Lytechinus pictus: one gene and its partner. The protein of the gene in region 2 purifies or fractionates together with the protein of the main gene of each other region. This does not show direct contact. Links are inferred from orthologs where the notes say so. Each region holds a gene or a part of one and is shown on either strand. Other genes may lie near its edges. The genes, in order: dual specificity tyrosine-phosphorylation-regulated kinase 2-like and E3 ubiquitin-protein ligase UBR5-like.

Evidence for each region.
Region 1: the proteins of E3 ubiquitin-protein ligase UBR5-like (region 2) and dual specificity tyrosine-phosphorylation-regulated kinase 2-like purify together in Homo sapiens (affinity purification with western blotting; 3 studies listed by BioGRID and IntAct, with this or other methods). This does not show direct contact. The link is inferred for Lytechinus pictus from reciprocal best matches to the Homo sapiens genes UBR5 and DYRK2.

The regions. Positions count from the first base shown.
Region 1 is NC_087247.1:78,632,305-78,648,144, forward strand, and holds dual specificity tyrosine-phosphorylation-regulated kinase 2-like, read right to left. Parts: upstream 8,002-15,840; 5' UTR 7,144-8,001; coding exon 5,458-7,143; 3' UTR 192-5,457; downstream 1-191. UniProt on the Homo sapiens protein: Serine/threonine-protein kinase involved in the regulation of the mitotic cell cycle, cell proliferation, apoptosis, organization of the cytoskeleton and neurite outgrowth. Functions in part via its role in ubiquitin-dependent proteasomal protein degradation.
Region 2 is NC_087245.1:27,709,026-27,724,860, forward strand, and holds the start of E3 ubiquitin-protein ligase UBR5-like, read left to right. Parts: upstream 1-7,045; coding exon 7,046-7,107; intron 7,108-8,837; coding exon 8,838-8,882; intron 8,883-9,779; coding exon 9,780-9,861; intron 9,862-10,557; coding exon 10,558-10,640; intron 10,641-11,019; coding exon 11,020-11,154; intron 11,155-11,576; coding exon 11,577-11,814; intron 11,815-12,315; coding exon 12,316-12,550; intron 12,551-13,796; coding exon 13,797-14,011; intron 14,012-14,957; coding exon 14,958-15,080; intron 15,081-15,835. UniProt on the Homo sapiens protein: E3 ubiquitin-protein ligase involved in different protein quality control pathways in the cytoplasm and nucleus. Mainly acts as a ubiquitin chain elongator that extends pre-ubiquitinated substrates.

The DNA of each region.
Region 1 (15,840 bases), on a different chromosome or scaffold from region 2:
ATGGTTTATACATTAGATTTTCACCGTTGTATTACAGATGTTGTATGTAAATATGTGATCAGTTTTTCCAATCCGAAAGCAGCCCTTTTTTCGGTCATCCAAATTTCCAAGTCCAGCACATAAGGTAACAGCTAAATGTCTCCGCTTTATATAGGATATACAGAACAAAGAAAATATGACATCAAAAAGGATTTTCTTTCTTTTTTTTTTCTTTAATTCCAAGTTCTTCAGAAGAGCTTGAGTCAGAAAACATTGTAGGATACGCATTTATCAATGGATTTCCCACATTCTTTCTACACAAGTACAAAAGAAAAAATATTATAGTAATCACATCAATGCATCTTACAAAGTAGTGAGTAAAATATGAAATTCACTGAAAATTGTGGCATTTGCATGAATACACAATATTTAAATAACAATCTTGATATCTATCTTTATACATACATGTAAAATTCTTGTACTGTACAAAGGCCACATAATATGCAATAATGTTCTGTACAATTTATATATATAATTATATGGGCCATATGGTAATAAATCCGACTTAAAATATACTAATAAAGAGACTGGACTATTAAGTTTAGTACAAGCTCTAAGTTACACTGTACATGTAAAACCAGTCCAATCAAGATTCTTATTGAACAGTGAACATCAGATTTCCCTTTTCATTCATTTCATTGGCAACTGTTTTCAAATTAGTACAAAATGTGCTTTGGTACATAATTCATGAAGGCAGCGCATATAATTCTAAGCAACAAGAAAATGTACTAGCATTTAATGGGTTGGTTACTACTATAATAGCATACAGTTTATAGAGATACATGTAGTATAGGGTTACAGGCTATAATACTACTTTTATACTTCATGGCTCCATCTTCATTGCATTGCACAGCTAAACACTTCATCGCAACCTGATTTTACGGTAATCAAATGAAGTTGATTCATTGGTAATAAAAGTTACATTCTGAAGAATTCTCCTAAAATTGGAGGACATGCACTTCCATTTGTCATTTTTTTCTTCTTGCAACACGCACAAGGACTTTTGAGAAAAATCTAAAAATACTGGGGCAGAGTTGTAGAATACATTCATATGACATATGCAAAGACAAAATACACCATGTATAATTCTACACAATATGAAAAGACAGTTAATACATAGGTTGGGAAAATTAGTTACATCAAACCACCTACATTTCAGCTTTCCAAGTTAACAAGTTAAATCAAAGTTACTAATTCAGCCTTCAGATAATTACACACCATTGACACTAACTACACACATATGCAATGAAGTACAGGTCAGTAAATTCAAATGATTTAGAGAAGTTTTTAAAGTTGGTTTTAGTAGAGGGGTAACACCGACACAAGCCTCAACACCAAACTTTAAATGTATGTAATTTACCCATCAAACATCATTCGATTACACCAGCCCAATGGAACAGGGAAAATTCATTATTTCAGAATCAAGTCCAATATCAGTGTTAGTTCTTGAGTCTCAAGACCATGAAACTAATTTCATTTAAAATCAAAATGACGGCAACTGCACAGAATTATTTCATAGAATACAATTTTCTCTAATAATTTTGACTTTCAAAAGTTCTCTATATCCTTTATGAAGAATATACTAGTATACCATTTCTCAAAAATTCTTTGTCAGATTTTGAGCTTGAACTGGTACAATCACAGTGCTCAGATGTGACACCATTGGTATTAGAGCACAGATGAGAGGTCTGAATCCCGCATCACCATGAAGACAGTATTCAAATTCAAAACTTACAGTGTACATATCTATACATGCACACCTCTTTTATGTACTTGTATCATAATCACATCTAACTTGTTTCCTGAATACAGCAATTTTTTTTTAATCGACCTGAAATATGCAAAAATCTGACAGTAACGGCTTATTCTATATTTTCAACTCTTTTTGGAGAAAAATAAAAATGATGGCATGAAAACTGCTAAAATTGTAAATGTCTATATACATTTTAAAAAATTACCACAATTCAAAGGGTTTTTTAAAAGCGGGTGAATAAAAGCTGTCCTGCAGCTTTGTATGTGTTGTCATAAATATAAGAATTGTTCATAGATATCTGGGTTTCAATAAAATACAAATACCATTGCAGGTAATGTAATAAGAAAACCAACCCAGTCAAGTGATGTTTGATAAAATAACAAAGGCCAACAAGATTAGGAAATTCATTCTACCACAAAAAAAGGGGGGGGGGGGGGTAACATGTACATGAAAAGGACAATGTACAGGAAAAGATCACTTTTTAAATAAAAGCAACCGTCTCTTACTTGAAATTTACAAACCCTTACAAGACTTGCACAATAAGGGTACAGTTTTCAACATTATGATAAGTGTTGAATGATAATTCAACACCTACAACTTGACATAAAACAACTGATATTTTTTCACCCTTTTTTGGCAAAACATTTATTGATATACCTTTTCCTAAAGTTTGCAAAGCTAAAAAGAAGCAGTGTTCAAGTTTTTAAATATGTAAGTATTCCAAAATGAGTACGGTACATCAAGGTGACAACATTCATAACAGATTCACACATTAACATTAGAACCTGAACAAATTAATATCAAATAAATCAATTGCAGCAACCAGATGTCAATATAATTCATATCACACCCATGATGAAGTGCAAAAATTAAATAGATACACAACATGCTTCTGAACTCTGTTCCTATCCCTATGTATATGACTGTGTGAACTACACCTGTGTGTTTTCTTGTACAGAGATCAATAACAGATGATGCTAATTAGGATGCAACACCTGGTTGAATAGAAAGTTAACCATCAGTTGGTGTTCAGAGCTTATCCTAAAGATCTAGAATAAGACAGGTGGATAGTGTAGAATATCCCAAAGGTCAATGCATTCCTGTCTGGCACTGTCATCAGTATCACTATCACCTACTCTACATATCAACCTGATCAATGTTGATTACTCATAACTCTGTGTGTACAAGGACCAACCATGTAGGCTTCATATGGCTCACAGTGACATGCTACTGAGCAGCTTTACAATGGACTACACACAATCATAGGAAATGGAAAATGAAATCCCAAGTAGGGCTACAGTGGATGATGTAATCTACAGTCATAGTATAGCTCTATGGTTATACAAAGGGCTGCATGTTTGCCAGTTTACTCACAGTACTATGAAAGCTTAATTTCAATGAGGGTACAATATGTATATATACATGCACATGTACTTTAGTACTAATGCGAGTAAAAGTCTGAAATTGGGACTCATTAATTATACACCAATTAACATTTTGAACACATAAAAGGTAGCAATTTCTCAAGAAGGTGAACAACTAATTCACTCAAAACAAACCACATTGGACTGAATAAGAAGTAAACAATTAACATTCAGATACAAGTCAACTTTATACAAAAGGACAATCACTAAATGCATGTGGATTGTGGTTTTCAATGTTTAATAATAATTTAACTTCTTATATTGAAACGTTCAATTCGGTCTGAAATGATTTTACTTGGAAAAGTTGAACCTTTGATATGAATATGAGTAAATGAATGCGTAATAAAAGAAGAATTTGTGAATGACATATCAAAACAAATTGTCTCTTTATTCTTAAAAGAATGGCTCACTACCTAATGTACATGTAATGCTATCATACAAGTACATGTACTTATACATGTACTTGTACATGCATTACAATGTGCTCGGTCTTCTGGCTTGCAATATGAAAGAAAGCCAAGATCAGATGTAGTTTGGCACACTCTCAAAACACCTTCTAACTAAGCCTCACAAACTATACTTGCCTGTACACCACACAGAGCACATGCTATTTCCTTCATAATTAATACCTGGCACTGCATACAGGCATTCATTAACAGTGCACTGTTTCTCTTCTTGGCAGATGAGAAAACACGTTGTTCTAGAGGTATGGGGCACACTCACAAGTGTTTGTAGTCTGTAGTGTAATACAGCAAATTTGAGGAAGTGCAAATTTTTTCAAATCAATGACTACAGAACATGCTTGTCATACATCACAATCCATCATCAAACAAAATGTGCCAAAGCTTCAATAGTCATTTGAATCAATTGGTAAGGTGAATCAGATAACAAATGAAGAAAATAACAATGAACCAGCAAGTCAGCAACTCTATATAAAAGGGAAACAAATACATTACTATAAATGGATAATCTCCAAACATTCCTTTTGTCCACTCACGGGTAATGATGAATAAAAGAAACTAAATTTATACATAGATACATGTAGATATTTGCTGAGCCTGGAACCTGTAGTTTGCCATCAAATAGTAACTATCATGGTTCCAATGCTAAGCAACCAATCAAGAGTAAAGGATTCTGGGAAATTACCAAAGGATGGCAACTTTATCATATGTGCAACATGGCCCCAGATATTCAATGCAATGATGAACTTGATACTGACAAATCTTGGCAACAAGCACTGTTGATTACATGTCTTTTTTTTAACATCTTTACTAGCATCAGAAATAAGCAGATCACTTCTATAAAACTATGATCAACATTTGACACATCCATCAAAACTGATCAATCAAAGAAAAATAGAGCAAACCATGCATTGTTTTTTTTTTCAATGCATATAAACATTCACAAAAATGTAGGAAAGCGCATGTTGAAAATGGAATTAAATTTCTAGGGCAAAGCTTTTCCAAATTTCCACTGCAAAGCACCCAAGAGACCCAATACAGAAGAGCACATTCAAGATATGTTCAATTACCGGTAAATTAAAATGTATATCACTGCTTTGTCAGTGACTTACATGTGCAACATCTTAATACAGTTCAACTAACAACATGGACGGATACTCTTTGAATGCTTAAATCTATTGTGAAGTTTCTGCAGCTATGCAGCTTCATGTTTATTTTATTTTGCACATAAAGCAAAATCAACAAGGAATACATGGAATGTATGTGTATACCCACTTTAACATACAAACATACTGTATTGTAAAGTTCTATACCTGCATAACAACTTATTTTTCCTTTTCTTTTATTTCTCTTTGTATGAGGTAAAACAGTTTGATTTAAATGCGTCAGTCAAATGTTCATTAAATATCTCCACCCTCCACACCAACAGCAAGTAAACAAATACACTGGTTTTGGCACCAATTCAATTAGCAACAATAAATCATTTGAACCTACATGTAATCTATGCTGGAAATGTTGCTCAGCTGCACCTGCAGTCACCAAAGCTCGAGATACATGTACATGTAAGGCATCAAATTCAACAAAATATCTGCAAGGATCAGATGCATATAACTTTTATCTAGACACTGTAAACCACTTGTGGCACTGAGGTGACACACACAGCAAATTATGGCTAGATTGTTACTTGCTTTATCCTTCCAAAGCAAGGAATCCCATTTCTTCATTTCAGAAAGAGGACCAATCCAACCTCTTTTCAAAATCAGGCAGGATATGTGTGACACTATGTTACTATTTTTGGTAGAACAGTCCGTTGCGATACATCTTGCCTGTCTTTACCAGCTGCACCAGTGGGAGGAAGCTTAGACACTGCAGAAGAGCCATGACGTTTATTTTTGGCCGAGGTGGTGTTTGTATGACTATCTGCAGGTGGCTTTGGTAGACGGCGACGAAGCCAAGAGTGACGGAGGGCTTGACTTGGAGTCATACGACTTGATGGATCCCACTCGAGACATCGTTTCAGGAAATCAAGAAAGAGCGGATCATCACATCCTTTCAGTGCCTTCACAAGATCCTTGCTCCCTGGTGGACCACGCACCTTCCCTCTACGAGATCGGCCACCGTTAAGCACTGTAGTTCCATCAGGAAGTGTAGTAACAGTACAATAACGTGGCTGACCTTTGGAGTTGATGAAGTTCTTGGATCTCTTTGATGTGTCAATGAGATTCTGTGAGGGCATGCCCATGAGTTCAATCATGCAGGCCAACTGATCACCCTCATCTTCACCAGGTAGCAGCGGGTAACCTGTAAGAAGCTCGGCCAAGATGCAGCCTAAGCTCCACATGTCAATGGGCATGCCATATTTCCCTCCTAAGATAACCTCTGGCGCTCTATAGAAGCGGCTCTGGATGTATGTGTAGATTCGTTGATGCTCATAGCAGCTGGAACCAAAATCAATCACTTTGATTCCACTCCTTCCCTGTTGTTTTAGCAGAATGTTCTCTGGCTTAAGATCACAATGAATAATCTTATTCCGGTGAAGTCCTTCAAGGCACTGAAGAAGAGAGTGAGCAAACTTCCGGACAAGTTGTAGACTGAAACCCTGGAACTTGTTTTTCTTGATGAGTTCATACAAGTTCATGCTTAGAAGTTCAAATGTGATGCATATGTGATTACGGAATGAGAAGCTCTCAAACATGTGAATGAGATTCATATTATTGTCTTTGTCTTGTTTACGTAGGTGTTCCAAGATTCTAATTTCTTCCTGGGCTTGACGATGGAAACGTTTTTCATTGCGCACCATTTTCACAGCAACATGCTGATTTGTCTTATGATCATAAACTTTCACAACTTGTCCAAAGCTACCTTTTCCAAGTATTTTCAACACTTCATAACGATACGCGACATGATCATGTTGCACATGGATGTATGAACCTTGATCATCGTCATATCCACAATTGTTCGCTCCACCAATTACTCCTTGCCGTTTCTTTGCATTCGGTCCAACAAAATAAATATGTGGGTAGTTAAATATTTCATGATGTTCATATGAAGTGAGTTTGTGCATGTACAATTTCATGCTTTCTTCTGGTGTCATTGGTAGCGCTCTTCCTTTAGCAGATCCATTTTTCGATCCATCGCTTGCAGGACGTTTGACATCAGGCAGAGCATTTGCATCATGTGATAAATGACCATTCGCTATCACTTTATTTTGCACTTGCCTTTTATAGTTATGATTATCGTCCGTTTCAAAGAGCTGTGTAACCTGCAAACCGGCTGGGACATTTTCGTTGGTTTTCTTGACAGCCCCGAGTGTGTGGCTCTTGATCGGGGGGAGCTCGACGTGCGAGCCATGTCCGTGGTGCGGGTAGAGAGCCGTGGTAGCTGTGTCTCCCTGCGTCAAGGACCGGGTCCTCGACGCCTGTAAATTAGACTTTCTTGAAATTGTATCAACCATCGAGTCAACCATATCGTTCCTCTTTAGAGAAAGTAGAAGTCAGCGTTACATTCCGAGCTTAAAATCCATTTTTAACACGTTTTCTGGAGCAATAATTTTCCTTCGGTGCTGTATTCAATATGGCTGCATAATGACCGGGAAAGCGACACCATGGAATGTGCCCTTTGTTGCTATAGAGATACACTGAGTGCTAGCTTGTTTACAACGTCACCATTAGCGTGACGTTTCTTGCCAACTATAGAACACATGATCACAAAGCGCCAATCAAAGAGTCTGTTCGAGCTTATTTGCATAATAAAGTGAAGAAGATTTTTGCTTCTCTTTTGTTGATGGAGACAAAATCGATGCTTCCACAATATGAAATCCTTTTGTATATCTCTAGACTATCTCGACTGTACAAGGTTTGGAACAAAAAATCGAGTTTACTTCAATAGAAAATTTTGATAAAAATTAAAACACAAAATCATATTGTCAGATTTCGGGGAGAACGGTTGGGGTCAGGGAAAATTACGCTTCATCAAGGAGCTTCATATATCCGCAGTAGTAGTGCCTAATTGGGCCTGGCTGCATGAGTTTGTGCAATATTTTTGTTTACAGCATTTTAGAGACATGAGCAAGCCCTATAGGCCTATTTTGGATAGGGCCTCTCTAATTAAGTTACAATCCTAGTTTCCCTTTTGGTCCTAAAGCAATTATTGCTATTCAGCATTTAAACTTATGTGATGTAGGCTTAGGGACGCACCATTAGATATCCAGGGGGCTGGAAGTTTTTTCCCAAAAAAATTGACTCGCCATCAGAGTAAAAAAAAAAAAAAAAAAATTGGTTCACTGACAAATCATCTGAATGGGGGGGGGGGGACTTGTCTCAATGGACTAAGGAAAAAAAGAAAGGGGAAAAATTGCATCAACCCAAACTTCAAGCCCCCCCCCCCTGGGTATTTAATGGTGCGTCCCTTATGTTTGGTTTTGAATAAATCCATTCATTCACTCATGCCAATATTATTTGAATTGATCTTTTTAAAGATATATAATATAGATTCTTTAATATTTTACATATTCGGGATTGACTAATTCTTTCATCGCATATGATGTAATAAATTCAAAAGAAAGTAGGTCAACCAATAAGTAGGCTACTCCAGGCTGAAAATCATATTGTTTGAACATGTAAAGGGAAAGTGGGGACATGAAATCATCAGCCCACCTAATAACTACTAGTATTCGTGTGTACCTGTTTTCACAAAATATTTATAATCTTTAAAGTTCAATAACTTTGTCATACTTGACATCTGATTTTAATATAAAAAAATCAACATTTTCTGTGGTCTAGTGGTTTAGACTTTTGTCTTCTGAGGGACGTGGGTTCGATAATAAGCCAAAGTGTACGTGTTTTCCTTCAGCAAGAAATTTACCCACATTGTGCTGCACTCAACCCAGGTGAAGCGAATGGTTACCTTGTAACTATGAATTTATTCCCTTGAAAACACACACGTTATTTGTTTCTTCTCTCGGTTAATTTACTCTAGATAAGTTATTTAGATATACTTATTTTCAGCCCAGAGTCCTGCCCCTTTCAGGCATCAAGAATTCCGGAAGACAAGAACATGAATTAAAGTGGAGTAGAGTTAGGTACTTATTAACCAGAGAAATGCTCGATATAAATGTATAGTTGAGGGTGGTTTAGGGGGCTTTACGATTGCGGCTAGCTTTAAAGGGCCAAGCCCCCCCCCCCCCCCCCAACAAAAGTTGATTTTGATAAAGTTGATTTGATCAAAATCGAAAGTTGTGACATTTAAAAGTTTTAACATAAGAGCTAGTGAAGTGCACATCTTGGTCGTATAATTGGCCTGTAAACATGAGGGAGATGATGACGTCCCGAATGACGTCACCCACACACTTCTTGAGTGGGATATGGCCCCACGCCCCCCCCCCCCCGCATCAATATACTCCAGGCTGTCTGAGAACATATGCAGTTACATTTCGTAATTCCGAAGATTCGTTATTCCGAAGGTTCGTAATTCCGAAACACGTAAATTGCCTATACCTCGATGTTCGTTAATCCGAAAACGAAAAAGGGTTCGTTGTTCCGAAGGTTCGTACGTTAATCCGAAAAGGAAATAAGGTTCTTTATTCCGAAGGAGGAAAAACCTATAGAACTGAATACAGAGGCATAACATGCCTACATTCAGAAACTTCCCCAGGTATCCCTAGGAAGGTTCGTTAATCCGAAAGAGGAAATAATCGGTGGCGATCGAAGCCGGGAAACCCGGGAAGATAAGAGTGGCCAGGCGCGGTTCCAAGGGGGGGGGGAGCGCTAGCCGACCCCCTATTTTTTGGCAATAAAAAAAAGTCCTTTTTAACTTGAGAGAAACGCTGAAAAACAGAAAGAAAAGTACGAAGGAGGTATTATACACATGTTTAATTTACGGCCTCGTAACTGCCGGCCCGATCCCCACCGTAGACCTATACTCATTACTCGCAGTGGCACCGCATTCTGTTGCATGGTTCAACAGTCATGTAAGCAAAACCACGCTATACCGCAACTGACATTCCCCTGCACTCCATCAACGGCCGATTTAATAGCTCTGCATAGGAGGATTACCATAAGCGCACAAGTAGGCCGTAATACAATATTTAAAAAAATACTTAAAATGTCCGGTTTTCAGGCCTTAATATCAACAGATTTCGAGCTCTCATTAATATCAGATTGATAAATAAGGTAACAGTTTCATGAATTCCTAATAATGAAGTTGTACGTCCCTTTTTCAGAGTGGAATATTTCAGCTGATCGCGCTCGCGCATTAGGCCTATTGATAATTCATAGTAAATGTATTTAGAATTCACAGATTCTATTTTTTGGGGGTCTAAATCTTAAAAACAGACTCACACAATAGATACGCAGTTTGTTCTTAATTCAAAACGTGCTTGAATTATCCAGTTTCATATCAGAATGTCAAAATTTTCTTCTCGCGCTTCGCATTATTAATATAGGAAGATGCCAAATTTTAGTCATCCTTTTCGTGATTTACGAACCATGAAAAGTGTGTCCCATTTTTAGGTCAAATCTCTTTTTCTCGCATGAAGTTATATAGTTATATATCTATCCTGTTTATGATGACAAAAAAGTGCTTAGAATGTCAAATTTTTAGGTCAAAATGTCAAAAATTTTCAGCTCGCGCTTCGCGCTCGCATTATTTGATTGATGAAGTTTAATCGTTTTCATGGGTAACTGCAAACAGTCCTTAATGTCTGTTTTCCCATCAGGCCAGAACGTATGTTTTGAATTTCTGATTGCGATTCGCGCTCGCAGTGATTTTTACATAAACATCTTGTTGATCGCAATCATTGCTCAGAATGTTCAATTTTCAGGACAAAATACATAACATTTTCTTAAAAATTAGCTCGCGCTTCACGCTCGTACTATTCAATTCGGGCTTATATGAGTATGAGATTGATATTTATTTATGTTTTGTGAGGTTAAAGGTATTGTTTAACTTTGTGAGCAGCCGATTTAAAAAATTCTCAAACGAAGATGAAAAATGTGTTTACAAGTGCATGTATTAGAACTAATAAACCCTGAAAACAACCATTATTGAGAATGAAAAGCTAAAACTACAAGGCAAACCCCGATTTTGTGGTTCTAGGACAACTACCCCCTGGACAATCACCCCCCGGACAATAACCCCCCGAGGACAATTACCCCCCGGACAACTACCCCCGGACAATTACACCCTGAGGACAATTACCCCCGGACAATTACCCCCCGAGGACAACTACCCCCCCCCCCCCGAGGACAATTACCTTCAGAAAATCCCCCCTTCTCTCCAGCATCAAATGTTAGAATTAAGCGGGACCCATTGTAAGTTTTGGTCGGTGGCACAGGTTTCCGAAATATTTTCTACTTTACCTTACGTTCATAACTTTTTCTTTCTCTTTTATATTGCTCTTTCTCCTGTTCTCTCACTTTCTACTTTTTTCCTTTTTTGTTTTTGTTTAGCGGCGCCTTCTACATCATGAAAAATGGGGGGGGGGGGCTTGCACCCGAAACCTCCCGTTTGGCTATGCATATATACATCAGAAAATTTGTAAACTGGCCCTCATTCTAAGTTTTCATAGAACAATTGAACACGATTAGTCATAATAATCACAAATGCTGAATATCTCTGATTCCAACTGATCTGATTTTTTTAAATATTTATTTTGGGTTTGATTTCAGGTAAGAAATCAGGCAAATAGATAAAACGTAAAAAAGAGGTAGAAATAGGTAGAAATATTGAAAGTCGTTAACGCAACTATCAACACTAACACTCCTATAAATCTGTTATTTTAAAACAGTTCAACTAACAAGAAGCTAAGAATTATGAAACAATTGGTGCACATTCCAGATTAAGATGTGGCTTTATAACTTAATACAGTAAGCTAAAAAACTTTATGCAAAGATAATACACACAAGAACACCTTGTAAATTACAAGGTGTTTTTGTGTGTTTTATTCTTGGGTGAAAGCAATTAAACATTAAAGAAGGAAATTAAGTACCAAATTTACTAAATTGTAAACAATATGACATAATCAATTACAGTGTTTTTTCTATACAAATTGGCAATCATGATAGTATACAATTCGTTTAAGGTGCATTTTAAGGACAGTTTGGAAGAATTTATAAAGAAGTAGGCCTATGCAAATCAAGTAATGCGACCGAGCACCGTGAGCTGAAAATATTAATATTTAGACCATAAAATGGACATTTTACAGAGCACTTGAAAAATCAATTTGTAAATTTAAAAATAATGAAAGCTCGATATCCGAGATGAAATATGTTTTGTATATTGACTTCGAAACTTGATATTTTAAGCTCCATATCAGCCTATATTGAGCAAGATATTAATCTCATCGAAAAAGCATTGCGCGCGCAAAGCGCGAGCGGAAAATACTTGATATTCCGGTATGAAAATGGTGAATTTGAGCACTATCTAAAGCATTGTGTAGGGAAATTGTGAAGTGGATATGGAAAGCACTTAATAAATGATGCGAGTGTGAAGCGCGAGCTGATATCTTCATTATTATTTTTTAACCTAGGACCTGGACATTCTAGGTCTAAGGACATTTTGTCATCATATGAAAATGATGACAACTTTGTTATTCCTCTTCCTGAGCGCGATATGAAACATATGAAACTGTGATATTGTCGATATTCTTTTCTGAAAAGGGATAATTTAGTCATTAAGAATTCATGAAAATTTTATTATCATATTTATTAATGTAATAAGCCTAAATGAGTGAGTAAAATGTGTTGACACTGAGGCCTGAAAACTGGATATTTTAAGCACTTTTGTAATCATGAATAGGATTTGTGAGTTGATATATTTTTTTTAAAATGCGAGCGCAAATCGTGAGACGAAATTTTTGGTAAACTGTCATAAAAGGGGGGTTTTAAGTTGTTTGTTATATAATTTGGCAAATCAAATAATGCGAGCGCATAGCGCAAGCTGCAAGTTATATTCACACCATAAAACAGACATTAAACAGAGCACTTAAAAATCAGTTTGTAAATCAAACAAAATAATGAAATATGCTTTGTAATATCGACTTCAAAACTTGACATTTTAAGCTACATATCAGCCTATTTAGCAAGATGTGTATCTCATCGAACAGGCTATGCGAGCGCGAGCGACAAAAATATAGTGACATGAATATTTTTTAATCATTTTCCAAGTCATCCCCTGACCTTTTTTTTTTCACTCGTCTCCCTCCTCTTATTTTACCTATTTTTCCTCCTTTCTTTCCCCTTCTTTTTCTTTTTTTCTTTCTTTCCCCTTCTTTTTCTTTTTTTCTTTCTTTCCCCCTTTTTTTTTCTTCATTTTTTTGCTCTGCTGATAGGGGGGGGGGGGGGGCCGGGCCTCTCGGCCCCCCCCCTGGATCCGCCTTTGGATGGAGCTCAATTTTACAGCTTTCTTACGGCGTACGTTTGATTCCAAGATACTCGAGAATGCCTTTGAGTACTTCTTACGTCAAACGTACGGCCGACCTGTGCACTCCCTTTGTCTAGGGAGTAATTGTCCGGGGGGTAGTTGTCCGGGGGGTAGTTGTCCGGGGGGTAATTGTCAGGGGGTAGTTGTCCGGGGGTAGTTGTCCGGGGGGTAATTGTCCGGGGGGTAGTTGTCCGGGGGTAATTGTCCGAGGGGTAGTTGTCCGGGGGGTAGTTGTCCGGGGGTAGTTGTCCGGGGGGTAATTGTCCTCGGGGGGTAATTGTCCGGGGGGTAGTTGTCCGGGGGTGATTGTCCAGGGGGTAGTTGTCCTGATACCTAGTAAATAGGCGTCTTATAGACGCCTAAATAGTACACATATTAGTGTATGGGATGAAATTAAGATGGTGTTTTCGGTCACTTTATATTTCAATTTTTGAAGCACTAAATAATTATTTTCGAACGCAATTTTTTCTGGGCTTCATTTTTGTAATATATCACAGACACATGGTGACAAGTGTGACCTTCTAGCTCAGATTTTTCTAAAGTCAAACCAAAGTGACTGTTATAGGAATAACCCTTCAATAAAAATCAACTTTGAGCGGCCGATCGGGCAAAATATGGGTACAATTCCCCCCCCCCCCCTATTGGCGAAAGCTGGATCCGCCCCTGGCGGAAGGAGGTGGGGGGGGGGGGGGAGAGAAACACCGCTGCTGTTCAATTGTTATGAGGATGGAGAGTCAAAAGGGCGGTGGAGCAATTTAAGTAGAGTAAAGTAGAGCGAAGCCTTCTTACTTTTACCTTATTAAAAATAAATAACAAAAAAAATTGGGATTTTCTCATCTAAATGTTACTTTAAAAAGGCTATTTTCATTTCGAAAACGGCACATTTCATTTTGAAAAAAACAAGGGAAATTCCCATTTTGAAAAAAATAGTATTTCGTTCCTACAGGGATTTTTTTTTAGGGGGGTGCAAGTGATGACACCTGCCCACCCCCCCCCCCCGCGCTTTCACCGCACCTGTGGGAAGGGGCTGATCTGTCGTTACCAGGGGCGTTTACGTACGCAGAATTCTCTCAAAGGGATCATTATAGGCTTATGAGGCTAGTTCAAATTTTTCCCTCATTCATTTAAACATAGATAAATGTAACATGATACAAAGGTACAAGGACCAAACTGAACATGTTTATAATAATTACAACATACACAAAAAAAGACTACTGAACATCAAACAAATACAATATAAATGCATTCAACGAGAAAACTACTATTAAAAAAAAACATTAAAGCATAATTATTATCAGAAAGTCAAAAAGGGGCCTAAGCTTTCGATCCTAGCAGAATCTTCGTCGGAGGCAAAATGACAAACATATAAAGTGGAACAACCATAATATAGACCACAAACAAGCTACAGCAACACTAGAAACAAGGAGACAAAAGGGGCATTAGTGAGTAGAGAAGACCAATCAGGTTAGTGAAGGGGATGAAAGAAAAGGAGTAGGCAGACACAAAGGGAAGTTAGTGTAAGTAAGGCCAGTAAAAGACCTCAAGCCAAGAGGGATTAAGATAATGAGGCAGGCAACATCAAACAGGATCTGGAACAAAACAGTGATAATGGGATGAATAACAAGAGAATTAGTGAGAGGTGGGTCAAACAGGTTACAAAGAAAGGCATAATAAACTGGTGCATAAGAGTGGGGGAAAAAAAGAAAAGAATGGGGAACAACTGATAATGTGCAAAAGACATATAAGTATATATGATAAAGCATTAAACAAACTAAGAGAAGAAGGTAAGTGTAAATATGTATCTATAAGTGATATGTATATAAATATATCCAAAAAAGAAATGTATATGAAAAAATATAAATACACATATGGTGTAACTGATATTGTAATCCGCTAGGTGTGACGGGAAAAAAAAAGATTATATAGTAGGAAAAAAATAATAATTATCATAAAAGTTATCAAATCATATATCGCTTAGGGCGTGTTGATGCATTTTGAAATTCAAAATGTCCACTAAAAGATAAATTTTTGATTAAATGTTTACCACTTATAAACCTTTAAAAAAAATTGCTTTGCGCGGGGGGGGGGTGATTGTTTGGACCAGAATAGGGGTGATTAAAAACCTCAACCCCCCCCCCCCCTTTTGGCTGAGGTGGGGCAAAAATGCAATCCGCAGCCATCATAACCAGCTTTTCGAAATGAGGGGAAGGGGCACACATTTCACATTAAATTTACATGTGTATGGATATAATACACATTTAATTATACAGATGTGGATCGAGCTTTTGCCAATAAGGGGGGGGGGGGGATTTCATTCACATTTCACCAAACGGCTATTCATACCTTTTTTTCTTTGAAGGGGTAGCAAACAGTGACTTGTTAGTCAAGTGCGAAGTGCGAACTGAAATTTTGGATAAACTGTCATAGGGATTTTAAGTAAATTGTTATAGAATTCATATAGAAGTAAATACTAATGAAAATGCAAGCACGCAGCGCCAGCTGATAAGTTTTTACGATCAGACCTGATTAAGGAATATTATGAAAACTTCATGGAATACATGAATAGAATAATTACTTCAAACGAACCTTATTTTATTTTCGGATTAACGAACCTTACTTCGTTTCAGACTAACGAACTTTCGGATAAATGAACCTCTTTTTGTTTTCGGACTAACGAGCCTTCGGATTAACGAACCTCATTTCGTTTTCGGACTAACGAACTTTCGGAATTACGAACCTCATT
Region 2 (15,835 bases):
TGGCAAATAAGTTTTGAATAGGCTACCATCCAGGAAGTGAGAGGGGTCTGGGAAATTGAGGGGGGTGGAGATACATAAGAATTTTATTTGTAAAATGACAAAAAGATGATGAATGCCCTTTCAACCAAGTCTTACCATATCTCGCCCTCTCGCTTGTAACAGGTACCATCACATTACTCTGACTCACAAAACACACTGCTTAGGTCTACAAGATGAATAGGCTACACTAAATTTACAATTCCTGTTCACTCAACCATCATTCTTACAAGATTAAAAAATCATATTTGTTGGGGAAAATCCAGCATAAGTGTTACCTTCCCCTTAAAAATCCCAAACTTAGGATTTTTTTTAAGAAGTCACCATGCAATCAAATTTTGCCTCATTGTGATGTCAACCATACGATAAATAGACATAAGGAGAAAAATTCGTCCATAATTGACATCGTATACCATTATGTTACCTGGTTATTGATCATTCGTTCTCTGTATATGAGGTTCATGGGTCGAATCTCGAACCAACTAAAGAGAGTTGCAGCTCCGTAATTAGCTTGAAGTAGAAGTTCGCCTTGGTGAGAAACACTCATGAAACTGTTCAGTCTAGGACCTACCTTTAATTTTCAAATGAAATTCAATCTCGACAAGCATGCCCCTTCCCCCACTGTCATGCCATCACAATCGCCATAATCATAATCATTGTAATCATCAAAACTAGGATTATTATCATAATTAATCTCAGCACCTTCATCACTGTCATTATCACCGTCATCATCATAAAACATTAATAAATCATCACCGCGGGCGGCGGAGCAGAGGATATATCCTTTGTTCATAGGGTGCATCATTATTGTCCCCCACAGCAAAATATTATCCTCTGATCATCACTATATTGCTACCATAATCATCAATCTTGTCGTAATAAATATTCTCGTGATCAATTACCATCATTATTACCATCACCATTATAACAACATTATAATTATTATTATCACCATTCTTGTCATTGCCATCATCGTTGGGATTACAATCATAATCATCACCATTATTATAATCAGCCATCATTACCTTTCTTTTCGATGTCATCATCACGATCATAATGTCTTTTTTTATTCACACATCATTATGTTTATAGATTAAAAAACAAAAAAATGTTATTATCGTCATCATCATTACCATCGCTTTCATCCTCATCCTCCTTATCCTTCTTCATTATCACCAACATCATTATTACCATCACCATTATATCATCCTCGATCATCATTCCGTTTTCACAAACGCTGACTACTTGTAGTAGTTCCGTCATTGGACAATGTGGTTTGGGAGGATTCATTGGGGTCAAGAAAGCACAATTAGAGATTATCAGAGATCGTTGCGTAACTTCAGTTGAAACGGATTCTTCCTATTGTTAGTTGTTAATTGTAATTTTCACACCTTCTTTGTTCGCAACACGTGCGAGACGGTGTTAGTTAATCGAACCCATTCAAGTCGCTCCAGGGCATTCACTTCAAAGCTTCAAAGGGACTTTAAGAGTTATCTTTCCTAAAACGAAGTAACTCAAGTGCATTGGGGTCTTGAGAATAATTTAAACAAATTCTTGACCACTACGAACTACTCAAAGAACGAATAACAAAGGAGATTAAGAACTGAACATGACTGGGAAATGGGAATGGATGAGGATTTCAACAAGTTGTATGCATAAATACGAATGCTAGTACCCATGAGCATTGGAGGATGCAGGGGGGCACAGTCGGTCCATGCCCCCCATTTGAGAAGCAAAATAAACATTTGTAATGTAAAAATGCAAGTCAATCTTCATCATTTCATAATTTCAAATCAATACTCGTTTCTTCATCATTTTGAGTTATTTTAAGAAATATACAAGTAATTTGCTCAGCCATTTCATGATATTAAGAGAAGTCATAACAAATATTGAATAATGTACATTGCTTTATCCAAGTTTCCATCCTCATGATTTTGCGTTCCTAATGCCTCGGTCATATTTGCTCTACGGCGGCCGTACAGTGAGTTTGAAACACCTGTTTTATCCATTTTTATTCAGACCACGTGTTTGTAGCTATTACAAAAAAAAATGTTAAAACGGTTGTTTTTGACTCGCCGCACGGCCGTCATAGAGCAAAAATGACCGAGGTAAGGTCAGGGAATGTTGCAGGAGTTCACCCCCCCCCTCCACTTAGATAAAAAAAAAATTGCTTGTAATTTTGTTTTTATGAAAAGACCTAATTGGGGGGGGGGGGGAGTGAAAACCTCTGTCAAATTTTCATTGAACTCGAACTCTACCTTTCAAAAATTCTGCGTACGCTACTGCAAAAGCTAGAGCTATTGGAGCTATACGTAGCGTAAAGAGAAGATTGTTTCATAGCGGCAAAGCTCTGCCTCAAGTACCTTGTATTGTGTATGCTTGCGCGCACATGGTATCTAAACTGATATTAAGCGTGCGGGTACACCGCAAGAACGATACTGAGTCGTGACTAAACTTTTCTGAGGACTAATTCGGAGGAATCACGTACCAGTGACAATGCGGCCGTATTTGTCAGCGCTTTTGGAATTATTATAGGCACGGTTGTAGTCACATCTTCAGGAGCGAACAGAGCTCTGCAAGCTGATTCAGTGGGTCCAGCGCCTGTAGACGTTGTGCGCGGTCGCCGCGGTTGATCGAACGCTTTGACGGATCGCATTTTACTTCCGCTGGTAGCCAAAACAAAATTTATTTCCCTTTCCATCTTTGTCAGGAATTTACGGGAATTATATACATATTTTTGGAAGCTCACATCATCAGGTACTAATACCTTGGTCACATTTGCTCTAGGGCGGCCGTACGGCGAGTCGAATGCAGCCGTTTTATTCATTTTTATACAAACCACATTATGTAGCTCGTACATAAAATGTTAAAACGGCTGTTATTGACTCGCCGTACGGCCGCCGTATAGCAAATGTGACGAAGGTGTAAGCATGAATAAGCGATTCGCCGGAGCAAAATTTTTCCGTCCAGGTTCTTGTCCCTTTGAATACTTGTCACGCCTTCCAACCAATTAATTACGGCACACATCGTCATTCATTATACTAGTAGTTGCACCCTCACAACATTTCACGGCAAACAATTGAGGTAAGGAACTTCTCTACACGCGCCAATAAATTCCTCTAGGCTTGCCAGCCCAATGCCCGGGAACAATAGAAGTGCCAGAACGCGACTGCACGGGCTCGTTATGTCACTCCGCGATGATCGCAAGGGTGCTCTATTGATATGCAAATTCAACCTCATTAACTTCGTGGCGTGCAAGCCCGTGCATGAAAAGTAATGAGGGCGTGCAAACGCGTTTGCACACCCCTCCCGGATATTGACGTCCCGCCTTAGATTATTACGAATTTCATTTGATATTGTCACTTATTATGTCAAAAATAAAGTGTGTCAAAATTACTATCAAAATTCGATCGAAATATAGTTTCATCTCGTCCCAGGCCCCAGCCTTTATAGCTACATCTACATGAATTCATTGAATGCATTTCTGATGACACTGCCGTAGAGCGAATTGAGAAAAACTATTCAAAGATCATGTTAATAATGACAAAGCCAATGGAATGGATTGATATAATGTCCAACTCATTTACTTACATCAAAATGATTTATTCACATTTAAATTCCGATTTTACTCCATTATTTCCAAAGTCTTGATCTCTACGTCGATCGTTTGAAACTGTTGATTAATTTCGCGACGGCGTGTCTACCAAGTTCTGTGCCACTGCATTCGCGCTCGCAACGGTCACATTCATAATACAAATCGCACATGGCATCAAAATCCTTGATCCGGGGATCCGATAGTCTTCCAAAATTAGATGGAATCCAAAACTAATTTAATTTCATTTTTTTCATATATTCATTGAATCTGTTATAATTTTCATAATTAATAATCTTTATTAATATTATTCACATTTTTTATCATTACGACTCATTTTTTTAATGTGAGTTATACGTACAGTGTATTTTCATTTGTATTGTTCTTTATTACTCTTTGCCTGCCAATTAAATAATGAGCGCACCTGTCGCGGGCCTGAGAAATGTTTTTAGTCATCACATGAATGCTTTATGAATTTGTTGTACAATTGCTTAACTACGATTTAAAACAACATATCATTTGAAATTAATTTGTGTAAAGGAAAAAAGAGAATGGGGGGTGGCCGTGGGCAATGTAGATGAAAATGATGGGATGTTTGTGACTTTGTGGGGAGGGGATTAAGTACTTATTTCACTGATATTCTCACTTTTATAGAGTCTATCACAAGGTGAGGTGTTCTCTTTATGAGAGGACAAGTACAGAGGTTTCACAACATTATATCATTGATGAATCGTTTGTCATATGATTAGAATGAGCAAAAAGAGATGTTTTGGGGTATATTTGTAGTGTCCAAAAGGGGAGAGTTGTTCATCTGTGACATCATAGATCTTGGTTGCATTGCCAATGGGAGGATCTCCATAGCATCAGTGATCTCGACATTCAAATGCTCATAACTATTCTATTGCTAGTCGTCCTATTTTACTCAAAATTTTGTTGATCTTATTCTTTGATTTTTCTGCTTTCACAAAAGCTAACTTGCTCCAAGAGTTTCATTCTCCTTTAAGTTCGTAGCGAATGAAATTAATATTCATTTATGGATGTGTCTACTGTGATTGTGGCTGCATAATATTTATGGCGATTGGAAAATCCACCTTGGGTCGGGAGAGGTACGTGATTCAATAGATTTCGATAGAAGTACACATTCAACAAAGTGGAATTGGCAATTCATTCACAGATATTCGTTTCAAGTACGAATTATTGAAGTTGATATGTGTGAACGTTTTAGAGGATATCGGATATGTATATCGTTTTTTCACGTCCACAATGAGTTGCTAGTATAATTTGAATATCGTTGGATGAATTTTTCAAGTTCACTTATGTCTTTATTGTTTTATATCGGAATTGTGTTTTTAATATATGAGTTATATCTTGGCAACGTCGTTAGCCTAATTATACTGCGAGTGGATGATATTTATGAAATGAGTTGGAATGTGAACGAGACGCCCCAAAGCCGATGGCACGTGATCTAATTAGTATTCACTTTCTGGGTTGAGCCAATCATTGTGCTTGAAAACGGGTTTCCCCGAATTCCCGCCCTTGGAACGTGTCCCACGTGTGTGACCTGTTAACCTGTTGTTTGAGTGCGAATCAGCTGATTTCGTGACCTCAAAAACTCTTCATGGTGTTGACGCTGGATGGGGGCTATAAAATTAAGAGGATCTTTCTCTTTTATTCATTTTTAATAAACTGTTCGTGATTTTCAAACTACACCTATAGTGATATTGTGATGCAATTTATTGAATCACGTACCTCGATCATCCCACTCATGGTGCAAGAAAATATTTTTTTAATTCACCAAAATATACATGTAAGAAAGATTATTCGGCCGTCATCATCGGTAGAAGTATAGACACGTCTATAAAAATGTATTCGCTTTGAATATTGACTTCTTCACCAATCCCACACACACGATCTCAACATCCCCTTGTTATTGTCCACGTCACGACCCCTCCCCTATCGCTCTCTCCCTTCGACCATCATACAACCCCACCCCTCTTCCTCTCTTTCACACACGCTGTATTTGTAGGCCTACATAATGTATTATGTAAAAATATAAATCTTATTTCCTGTCAATTAACCTATACTTTCAAAACATTTTAAATCGCAGTTAAGAAAAACAAATTCGTAATATTACAGTATAATGAATGACTAAAAATATTTCTCACGCTCGTGATGAGCACATTCATTATTTTATAGGTGAGTAACGAACAATACAAAGGAACACAGCAATAATTGACAGTGATAAAAGAATCTCGATTGGAAATTATTAGTATAAACATCATCAACAGAAGTCTTATGAGAGTTATAGTTTCAGTGAGTATCGAATAAACCAAACAAAAAACCATGCAAATTATATAAGTTGGGGACCCCGTCTCATGAATACCGATGCCCATTATTTGGAAGCCTCGGAAGAAAACTTCCGAGGCTTCCAAATAATACCTCCGTCACATTTGCTCTACGGCGAGTCGAAAACAGCCGTTTTATTCATTTTTATTCAAACCACGGTAACCACCTATATTCAGCTGGTACAAAAAATGTTTTCGACTCGCCGTACGGCCGCCGTAGAACAAATGTGACCGAGGTATAAAGTCGGAACAATCTTTGGATTTAGTAAGGGCGTGACGCAGCGCAAGCTCAAAGGGCTACGCATGCGGTCCGTAGATGCAAGCTCAAAGGGCTACGCATGCGGTCCGTAGATGCAGTCGGTCATTGACATAAGAAACAACACGCATTCACAAAATTAATCGCACTTTCTAAGGATGTAGCGATATCGATCTGAACATTGGAAAGTATGGAGTTAATTTATCGATGTAAATAGTCTATAAACTGTAAGTATAAAATGAGATTGACTTCAATTTTTAAGTTATCAGTAATTGCCTTTCTGCTTCAATCGCAATTCGCGCAACCGTTACGGCTGTGTGGTCGGAGAAGCATTAAATAGACTTAAAATGTGGTGCATTTAGCAGCAATCTAAGCTCGTCGATATTGATATTTTCGACAGCTACCGCGCTTTGCGCGGGAGGGGGGACACCCCCCTCCCGAACCCTCCCCCCCGTGCGTGCTTCGCACGCACCGAGGGCGCTGCGCGGCTTGCGTCGCTTCGCGCCGCCAAGCGTCAGAGTGAACCTGGCGAGAACGTTGTGTGTATTGCATTTCGTACTTGTGCTGACATCCCGCCCATAGGGTGGGAATTAGTGGGAATGTATGTGCAGTATTTGTAGTGCTTTTGCACCGAATTTGTCATTGGGAAACCCCCTCACTAGGCCATACCCATCATAATATAGCAAGTTCGATACTGAGGTGTGGCTTCTCAGGACTGATTCAGAGGATTCGCGTACAAGTTAACTATTATGACAATATGGGCGTATTTGTTAGTGCTTTTGGAATGGTTATTGGGCGTGGCTGTGATCACATACAATGTATAATGAGCAAACTGAGCTCACCCGACTCAGTGCGTCCAGCACAGCGCCTATAGAGACGTACGTGCACATCAGCCCAACACATCTGAATTGTGCGCGGTCGCCGCGGCTTAGTCGTCATTGTGTGTCATGAAAGAGATACGATCTTTGGAATTCGTTAATTTTAGCATAATTTTCATTTGATATCTTGCACTTTGTTTTCAAAAATCTAAGTTTACAGTCATGTACTTTTGATAATCGAATGTTTCAAATCAGTAATCATCATCTGGCGAACATTCGATTAGTGTAAAAAGTAACATTCGAGTGCCGATTGTTGGCAAACTGATCGAATGCTTCGATGGATCGAATTTTACTCCCAGGCCTATTACCCATTAACTATTTGTTAAATAATATTTTCATGATGTACATGTAATTCAATTTTTTGATATTGTCAAACAAAATTTTATTCCTATTTAAACATTAATTGGCTTTTGTAGCCTATCAGTGATCTGGTGAAGAGTCTCTCTTATTGTAAAATCTTAAAAAAGGGAATGAAAATATATTTAATTTGATGGAATACAAAAATAATGATTGAATGACATCTCGGACTCTTGCTTATAAATCACTGTTATATAACTGTTTTGTGGAAATAGGGAGTTTATAAAAAATGTATTTTTATTCACATCTGATTTTGATGAAATGTATGTTAAGGGCTATTCCACGGTTACCCACGTTACATTTGGAGACACCTTGACTCATACTTGGAGCTGTAACTCCATTATTATTGACAGGAACTAAACATCTCTTTATCACAACAAAGTACACAGTCTGACTATCCTTCGTACAAAAACAAAACGTGGGAAATTTTATTATGCTCCTGTCAAATCTTTGAAATGTGTCGGTTACTCATGTTACATTATTTGGACATGCATAAAATGAAAAGTCGACGTAAGTGAAAAGTGTCCTCATACAAGGCTTTTATGAAAGTTGATTATATCCATTTCAAAGAAGTATATTAGGGAGACAAACTTTGTATATAATTCAAAAATAAAGAGCACATGGTTTTTACTAGGGGTGCAGATAAAGTGGTTACTCACATTACGGTTACGTTACATTTTGTCCATGTATGGTCAACAACATAAATGTCACTAAAAATTCAATAATGTGTGTAAGATTCATGTTTCTGTTTCTGTAATAATATGAGTAGGATTTCAGACACCAGTTTGTGTTTAAAGGTAACATTCTGAATAAGTTTCCTCCTCTCTTTTTATACTTATTGGTCAGTATATTGGTAATGTATTCACTAAACTGTACGAGATCTGGCTTGGGCTGTGTAAATCAAAAAATGTAAAACAAATGCATTCCATTTCTTGCCTCAAGACCTCAACATCAATTAAAGAACCAGCAATAAGTATAAGTAAGGCAAACACAATTAAAATGTACAGTTCAGATGGGCAGTATATCGAATTTGAATTTTTAAGCTAATGTCCACCAACCTATGGAATTGCCCTTAAGCTTGTTGGATTTGTTCTCTCTTTGTTAAAATAAGCTTGTTATTTCCAACTTGGGTAAACTTCTTTTAAGTGTAAAAGTCTTTTTTTTTCATTTGGAAAAATACTAAGATATTTGACATGATTGCAAACTGTAACAAAATACATTTATACATAGCTCTAAATAAAAAATACACTGTATATGAAAAACTAATAGCCAAAACATTATGCCTGACTTATTGGAGACAATTAAAGAAAAGAGGGGATATAAGTGATTGCATTTTTAATGCTCTTTGTTTCTTATTTCTTTAAATTTAACAGATTGAGAGAGTTATCTGAGAAACTGTACAGGCAACCAGCACCATGGTAAGTGTCTGTGTGATCCCCTTTTCAGGGCTAAAATTAATCCAAGGCCAACAAGGATATTGCCTTTTGGATGCCCTTTTGATTGGCGTCGAAGCCCTTCTCATTGACATTGGCCTTAGATATTTTTGGTGCCCTTTTTTTCTCGGCTGCATAGCAGAGTGACGGAAAAAAAATTACATGTGGGCTGGGGCGATTTCGCCTCGGAAATGCTCACAAGAGCCCTGGAAATCCCCATTCCTTGCAATGTTAAAGCTTATCCAATGTTTGCAGATTTAGGCAGTAAGTTGTGAAAAGTAGCCTAAAAAACAACAACAAATTTTTGCCTGAGAATGAGACATGCATCGCTTTTCCAACATAATATTTCATTAGAGGAAAAAACAAAACAGTAAAATTGTCTCTGAGTTATGAATTTCAGACATAGGCCTACATAACATTTAGATTTTTAGCAAAATTTGTTGAAATTTGATAAAGTTCTGTAGACATTAATATTAATAATGAGTTTGATGCAGTGGTACTGATTAAAAAAAAGAAGCACAGAGAATAAATGGTATTCACATTGTGCACAGCTGTGTGGGGAATTGGTTGTTTGGATGCTTCTAGTGCTTCATAGAAATTGATGATATGTGATCATTTATTGTTTTTCCTTATAAGGCCACCAGAAAAAATTAATGGAATATCAAATCTCTCAAAGACCTTTTGACGAGAGTATGACAATAAAAAAAAAAAAAATTAGTTTCATGCCAATTTTCCCTTATCTATCAATCTGACAACTATTGAAAAGTTGGGCTCTACTGTTAGTACCATTTTATTATATTGGAGATGTCAAATAGCTGCCTGCCATGACTCAGTGTGATGAACAGTGATAAATGTGATCCATCCCATCTTTCATTTTTACAGTGCTTCAGGAGTTTTACCCCTGAAAAACCTTCCAGTGAAAAGCATAACTGTTGGACCAAATCATGCAGCTTTTCTTCTTGAGGTAAGACTGCGGTTTCATACAGCATTAAGGATTTGTCATTCTCTGTCAGTTACCATTATCACCTGCCAGACATTCATATTTCTCTGCCAATCAAAACCAAAGGCTTCACAGAAAGGATCAGATTTGATAACTTAGGGCTTGCTAGCTTGAATTGATTAATGATGATGATGATGATTGATGATGATGATGATAATGCTGCTGCTTCTAATGATTGTTTTACAAATGGTGATGATGATGTTATCAATGATGGTGATGTGTGGTGTAGGTGATAGTAAATTTGGCTATGAGGATGTTGGTGAGGGTATTGATGATAGTGATGATGCTGGTGGTGGTGGTAGTGATGATGATGATGAAGGTGATGATGGTATTGATGATGATATGGGAAAGGTTCATCGTGGTGAAGGATTGAGTAGAAGAAATAACCAGTTGTCTCATGATGTGTCAAACGTAGTCGGAAAGCGATTGTATGGATGATGATAGTAATAATATTGTTGATGATGATATTGATGATGAGGATATTGATGATAGTGATGATGATGGTGTACAAATAGCTGATAGTGATTTTGGCTGTGATGTTGGTGATAGTAGTGGCAGGGGTGATGATAAGGATGATGGCGTTATTGATGATGATGATGATGATTATATGTATTGGTCATGATACGTATTAACCTACAACTCTATAATTCCTTCACATAGGATGGTCGTGTATGTCGTATGGGATTCTCAATCAACCCTGAGAAAGTCGACAGTGGTCCAACTAAGAATGAAAGCTCCAAAAGGTAAGATCCCTTTCAGTATGATTGATTTCTATTCATATCAATGAGATATGTTTCCACTCAATTAATTGGGCAAATTATTCAATTGAATCGCATGTACCGGTAACCATAAATGTGATTAAGTTGTTTCTTTTACTGTTACAACAAATAATATCAATTGTTCAGTTGTATAATGTTTTTTTTTTAACCGTGTGCACACAGACAGTTTTACATACATGATGCTATTTTTAGTGTTGGGTAGGTGGGCTTTGATCAGGGAAAGCATATTATGCATGCATTTGTAAAATTCTTATTGATAGTTATGCATGCAAATTATATTACAGGGTGTATGAAAAGATGCCCCATGTAAGATATACTACTCATTTTGATTTTTTTTTTATAGCAGCAAGAAGAGCTGGGCCTCCTCTGCTCAGTTATCTTCCGCTCGTTCTTCATCATCATCATCATCGTCGAGGCCTACTAATCCTCTTAACCCTTGGCTCATCAATGCCGATGAACCTTCTGGAGTTTCGTCTAGGTGAGAAATTAAAATATTATTTTATATATTTTACGCATGGATAGAAAACCAATTCATGTAGAACTAAAAATTTACTTTAGGTAGACACTTTCAAGATATCTGTGACTGAAAAATCATCATTTAATTTCACTGCTTGAAGATCTTGATTGCACATGTAGCTCATGTAATATAAGGAATAGAATTGGGAGGTTGTTTCTGGTCACTTTATTTATTCACTTTGTGAAGCACTGAATGATGCTTTTCAGATGCAATTTTTCAGGGCTTGATATTTACAATACATCACAGACGCAGGTAATAAATGGGACCTTCCAGCGAAGATTTTTAAAAGTCAAATCAACGTTTACCAATACCTTTTGAGATGTATCCCTCTTGAACACTTGTTGAACATAATCTATGTCAAATTATATCTTTATTTTTTATAGTAAATGGTCCTCTAATTGCCGTACCCCATCCAATCGCACAACATCAAACAACAACTCCAGTGCTTCCCGTAATCGAGGGCGTGTCATCCGTGCTCACTCTCGAGGTCGTGGTGGGGTGATAGTGGGTACCAGGCCAGTTGTCCCAGCATCTGTTGTCCCTGAAGAACTGGTGTCCCAGGCACAGGTAGTCCTACAGGGCAAGAGCAGGTCGGTCATCATCAGGGAGCTCCAAAGGACTGTAAGTACTGTAGGACAAATTCTAATGCAACACAGAAAATGTGCTATACCCGTTAAAATTTCCAGAAGATAATTATCTTTCCTGGTCGATAGTACACATGAATTCCACTCTTTGTTGTGAATATTCTGTTCATTTTTTTTCTCTCCTACATGTTATTACATAGAGGAGCATTGCTGAAATTTGATTTTGAATTGATTACAGTATTTATAGAAATGTACAAATAATCCATCATTGTTGCATCTAATTTCAGTTACTTGGTTTAAAATATCTGATAAAATTTGACTAATTCCAGTTGCTTTACCTTAAATGTAGTCACTGTGGGGCGTTTTTTTTATGGTAAGTTTATTTGACAGTTTTATCCTGCAGCAGCCCTTGCATTGATATCATATTATTAAGCACTTTAGGAAACCTTGTTTTAATATCTTCATGTTAATGATGCATACATTTATATGTTCATCTATGATACAATTCATGCATTGTTCCCCCAATGTCTTTGAATAGAACCTGGATGTCAACCTGGCAGTCAACAACCTGTTGAGCCGTGATGATGAAGATGGTGAAGATCCTGAGGAGAATGACACCTATCTGTCTGGTGGTGATGACCTTGTCTCACTCTTGGATGGTGGTATCCACTCGGATCATCCAAGCGTCATCATTGATGCTGACGCCATGTTCTCGGAGGAGTTCTTGGGCCTACCGCCATCGAGGTCCAGAGCTAGAGGCTCCAGCAGTAGAGGTAACTTAATTGTTCTTATGTGGTAATTTTGCCGGGATCCGTGTTGTAAATATTTATTTTCTTATAGGTCCTAGGTCTTCCTCCATCAGAACAAGAGACTATGGCAGTAAAGGTACAAGAAAAAGATCAGTGTGTTCAGCACTTAACAACTGCAGGGAAAGACATTTCATAAAATATCTTCTGTCTTGTGTAAATTTTCACTGGTAAATTGTTGCAATGCAAGTTTGCTAATAAGGATCATTTATTCAAATCCAATGGTATATTGTCTCACCTGCATAGCAGAGTGAGACTATAGGCGCCGCTTTTCCGACGGCGACGGCGGCGGCGGCGTCAACACCAAATCTTAACCTGAGGTTAAGTTTTTGAAATGACAGCATAACTTAGAAAGTATATGGACCTAGTTCATGAAACTTGGCCATAAGGTTAATCAAGTATTACTGAACATCCTGCCTGAGTTTCATGTCACATGACCAAGGTCAAAGGTCATTTAGGGTCAATGAACTTAGACCATGTTGGGGGGAATCAACATCAAAATCTTAACCTAAGGTTAAGTTTTTGAAATGTCATCATAACTTAGAAAATATATGGACCTAGTTCATGAAACTTATACATAAGGTTAATCAAGTATCACTAAACATCCTGCATGAGTTTCACGTCACATGACCAAGGTCAAAGGTCATTTAGGGTCAACGAACTTTGGCCGAATTGGGGGTATCTGTTGAATTACCATCATAACTTTGAAAGTTTATGGATCTGATTCAGAAAACTTGGACATAATAGTAATCAAGTATTACTGAACACCCTGTGCAAGTTTCAGGTCACATGATCAAGGTCAAAGGTCATTTAGGGTCAATGAACTTTGGCCAAATTGGGGTATTTGTTGAATTACAGCCATAAATTTGAAAGTGTGTTGGTCTAGTTCATAAAACTTGGACATAAGAGTAATCAAGTATCACTGAACATCCTGTGCGAGTTTCAGGTCACATGATCAAGGTCAAAGGTCATGTAAGGTCAAAGAACTTTGGCCACGTTGGGGGTATTTGTTGAATTGCCATCATATCTCTATAAGTGTATTGGTCTAGTTCATAAAACGTGGAAATAAGAGTAACCAAGTATCACTGAACATCTTGTGCGAGTTATAGTAGTTTTCAAAATCAGCACTGCTGCTATATTGAATCGCGTGATGCAGGTGAGACGGCCAGAGGCATTCCACTTGTTTGCTTTTATCTTGCATATGTACATGTAGATCGTGATCGTGATGCTGAGCGAGATCCACTGCTGCGTAGCCGGGAGCGGCGCTGGCCCGAGATTGTACTCCGAGACACTGGATCAGGAGCTAGTAACATGAAGGCTGGTAGCTCTGAGGCAGCAGGAACATCAGATAGCAGACGTGGGGGAGCTGCAGGGCACAGCCAGAACCCTGTGGTTATTGGAGAGGATCTAGAATGGTGGTCAGAAAAGGTAGGATAGCTAATAGTATCTGACCTTCCCCCTCCCCTTTAAAAACTTATTTTAAAATTGACATTGCATCACATAAAAACAATGACAAATTGGAAGTAATTGAAATCAAAAACCTGTACTTACAGCAAGTAATGACTTCACAAGAAACTGAAGAAAGTGTTTGAAATTTTCACCATATCATGATAGATCTAGGTCTGGTTTAAAAACTATTTTAATATCCTGAGCATGTACATGTAAGCATCAGTTATTTGTGTCCTAAATCTGTCAGAGATGAAGCATGTTTTTTTAAATTTTCATATGCACTTATGACTTCACATTTTTTTAATGATATAACAAGGTATGTTTGAGCTTCACAAGTTCAAATTGTATTCATTCGTTTTTTCCCAAAGTAATGTAATTCAGAACTTGATATGTAAATGTGTTTATTAATTTCTCTTTGTATATATATATGTTTAATCGTTTTATGATTTCTGTATACAGTGTATACTGAATCATTTATTTTTATTATTATTTATTTATTTTTATTTTTATTTGTTTATTTTTTATTCATTTTATATATATATATATTGTTTATTTCTTTATTTTATCTTATTTTTTATTCATAAAATTTACTTATAAAAGGGGGCCTTCACCCTACAAGCTCTGCTTTTTAGTTGGTCTCCTTCCCTTTTCGATTTTCATGGTATTATTGTATTATAAAAAAATGATTTAAATGTTATATTTTGTAAATATGTATATTGAGCTATCATTGTAAATGTAAAAAGATTGAAAGAGAAAATAAATGAATTGAATTGAATTGATAGTAGTGTTCAATTAAGAATCAAATAATTAAAACTTGATTGATATTCTTCACTGCTATCTGTTGATAGTGGTAATTAATGAATTTAATTTGATCATGGAATGCATGCAATTAACATGCTTTACTGTTTTTATCTTGTATAATTAGGGTGAAGAAACACCTCGATTTGTAAGCATTGGTGCCATGTATTCTGAGCTGATAGCTGTGGGTCAGAATGGCCTTATGTACCAATGGAAGTGGTCGGATCCAGAACCATACAAGAATCCAGAGGTAAATCCATTCCCAGTTTTTCAAGAGACTTAATTTTTTTTTTTTCATTCCATATTACAATATATTTGATGAATTCAGTGTTACGTGGATAAAGTATCATTTAGAGATATTAAAGATACAATCATTCTTATAACCAGGGCCCGGTTCATAATAGTTTTTATTACTTGGAAGGTACAGGCAACTGTCATAAGCTACTGAAAATATACAACGTGAATGGACGGGAGCTTACTTGCAATAGAATTCCAGTATACATTCATTCTTGACCGAATCTTTAGTATTGCCATGTAACTTTGTACAAACCTACTTGACCCAAACTGAAAGGTTAACATGATTCAGACTGGATGGGGAGATAGGTGTTTCTATTTTGTTACGAACTAGCGTACATCCGAGTTCATCTGTCTCCACCCAAATTTGTCAAACGCGTTCAATAATAGTCTGTAACATGCATGAATCGTACATAGACTTCATTTGTAACAAACCCTACTTAAATCTCTTAAATAGAACTGTTGTCTGTCAGTATTTGGAAGAAACCAGGGTGGTGTTTCATGAAGCTGTTCGTAAAGTTACGCACAACTTTACACACGACTGAAACCTGTTCTTAGGCGCTAAATCAGTTACATAGGGATATCATTTAGCACAAGAAAGGGTCACTAGTCATGCGTAAAGTCATTCATAACTTACAAACAGCTTTATGAAACGGGGGCCCCAATTCAATGTCTTTGAGTCTTTTTTCCATTCCTCATTTATTTCTGTGA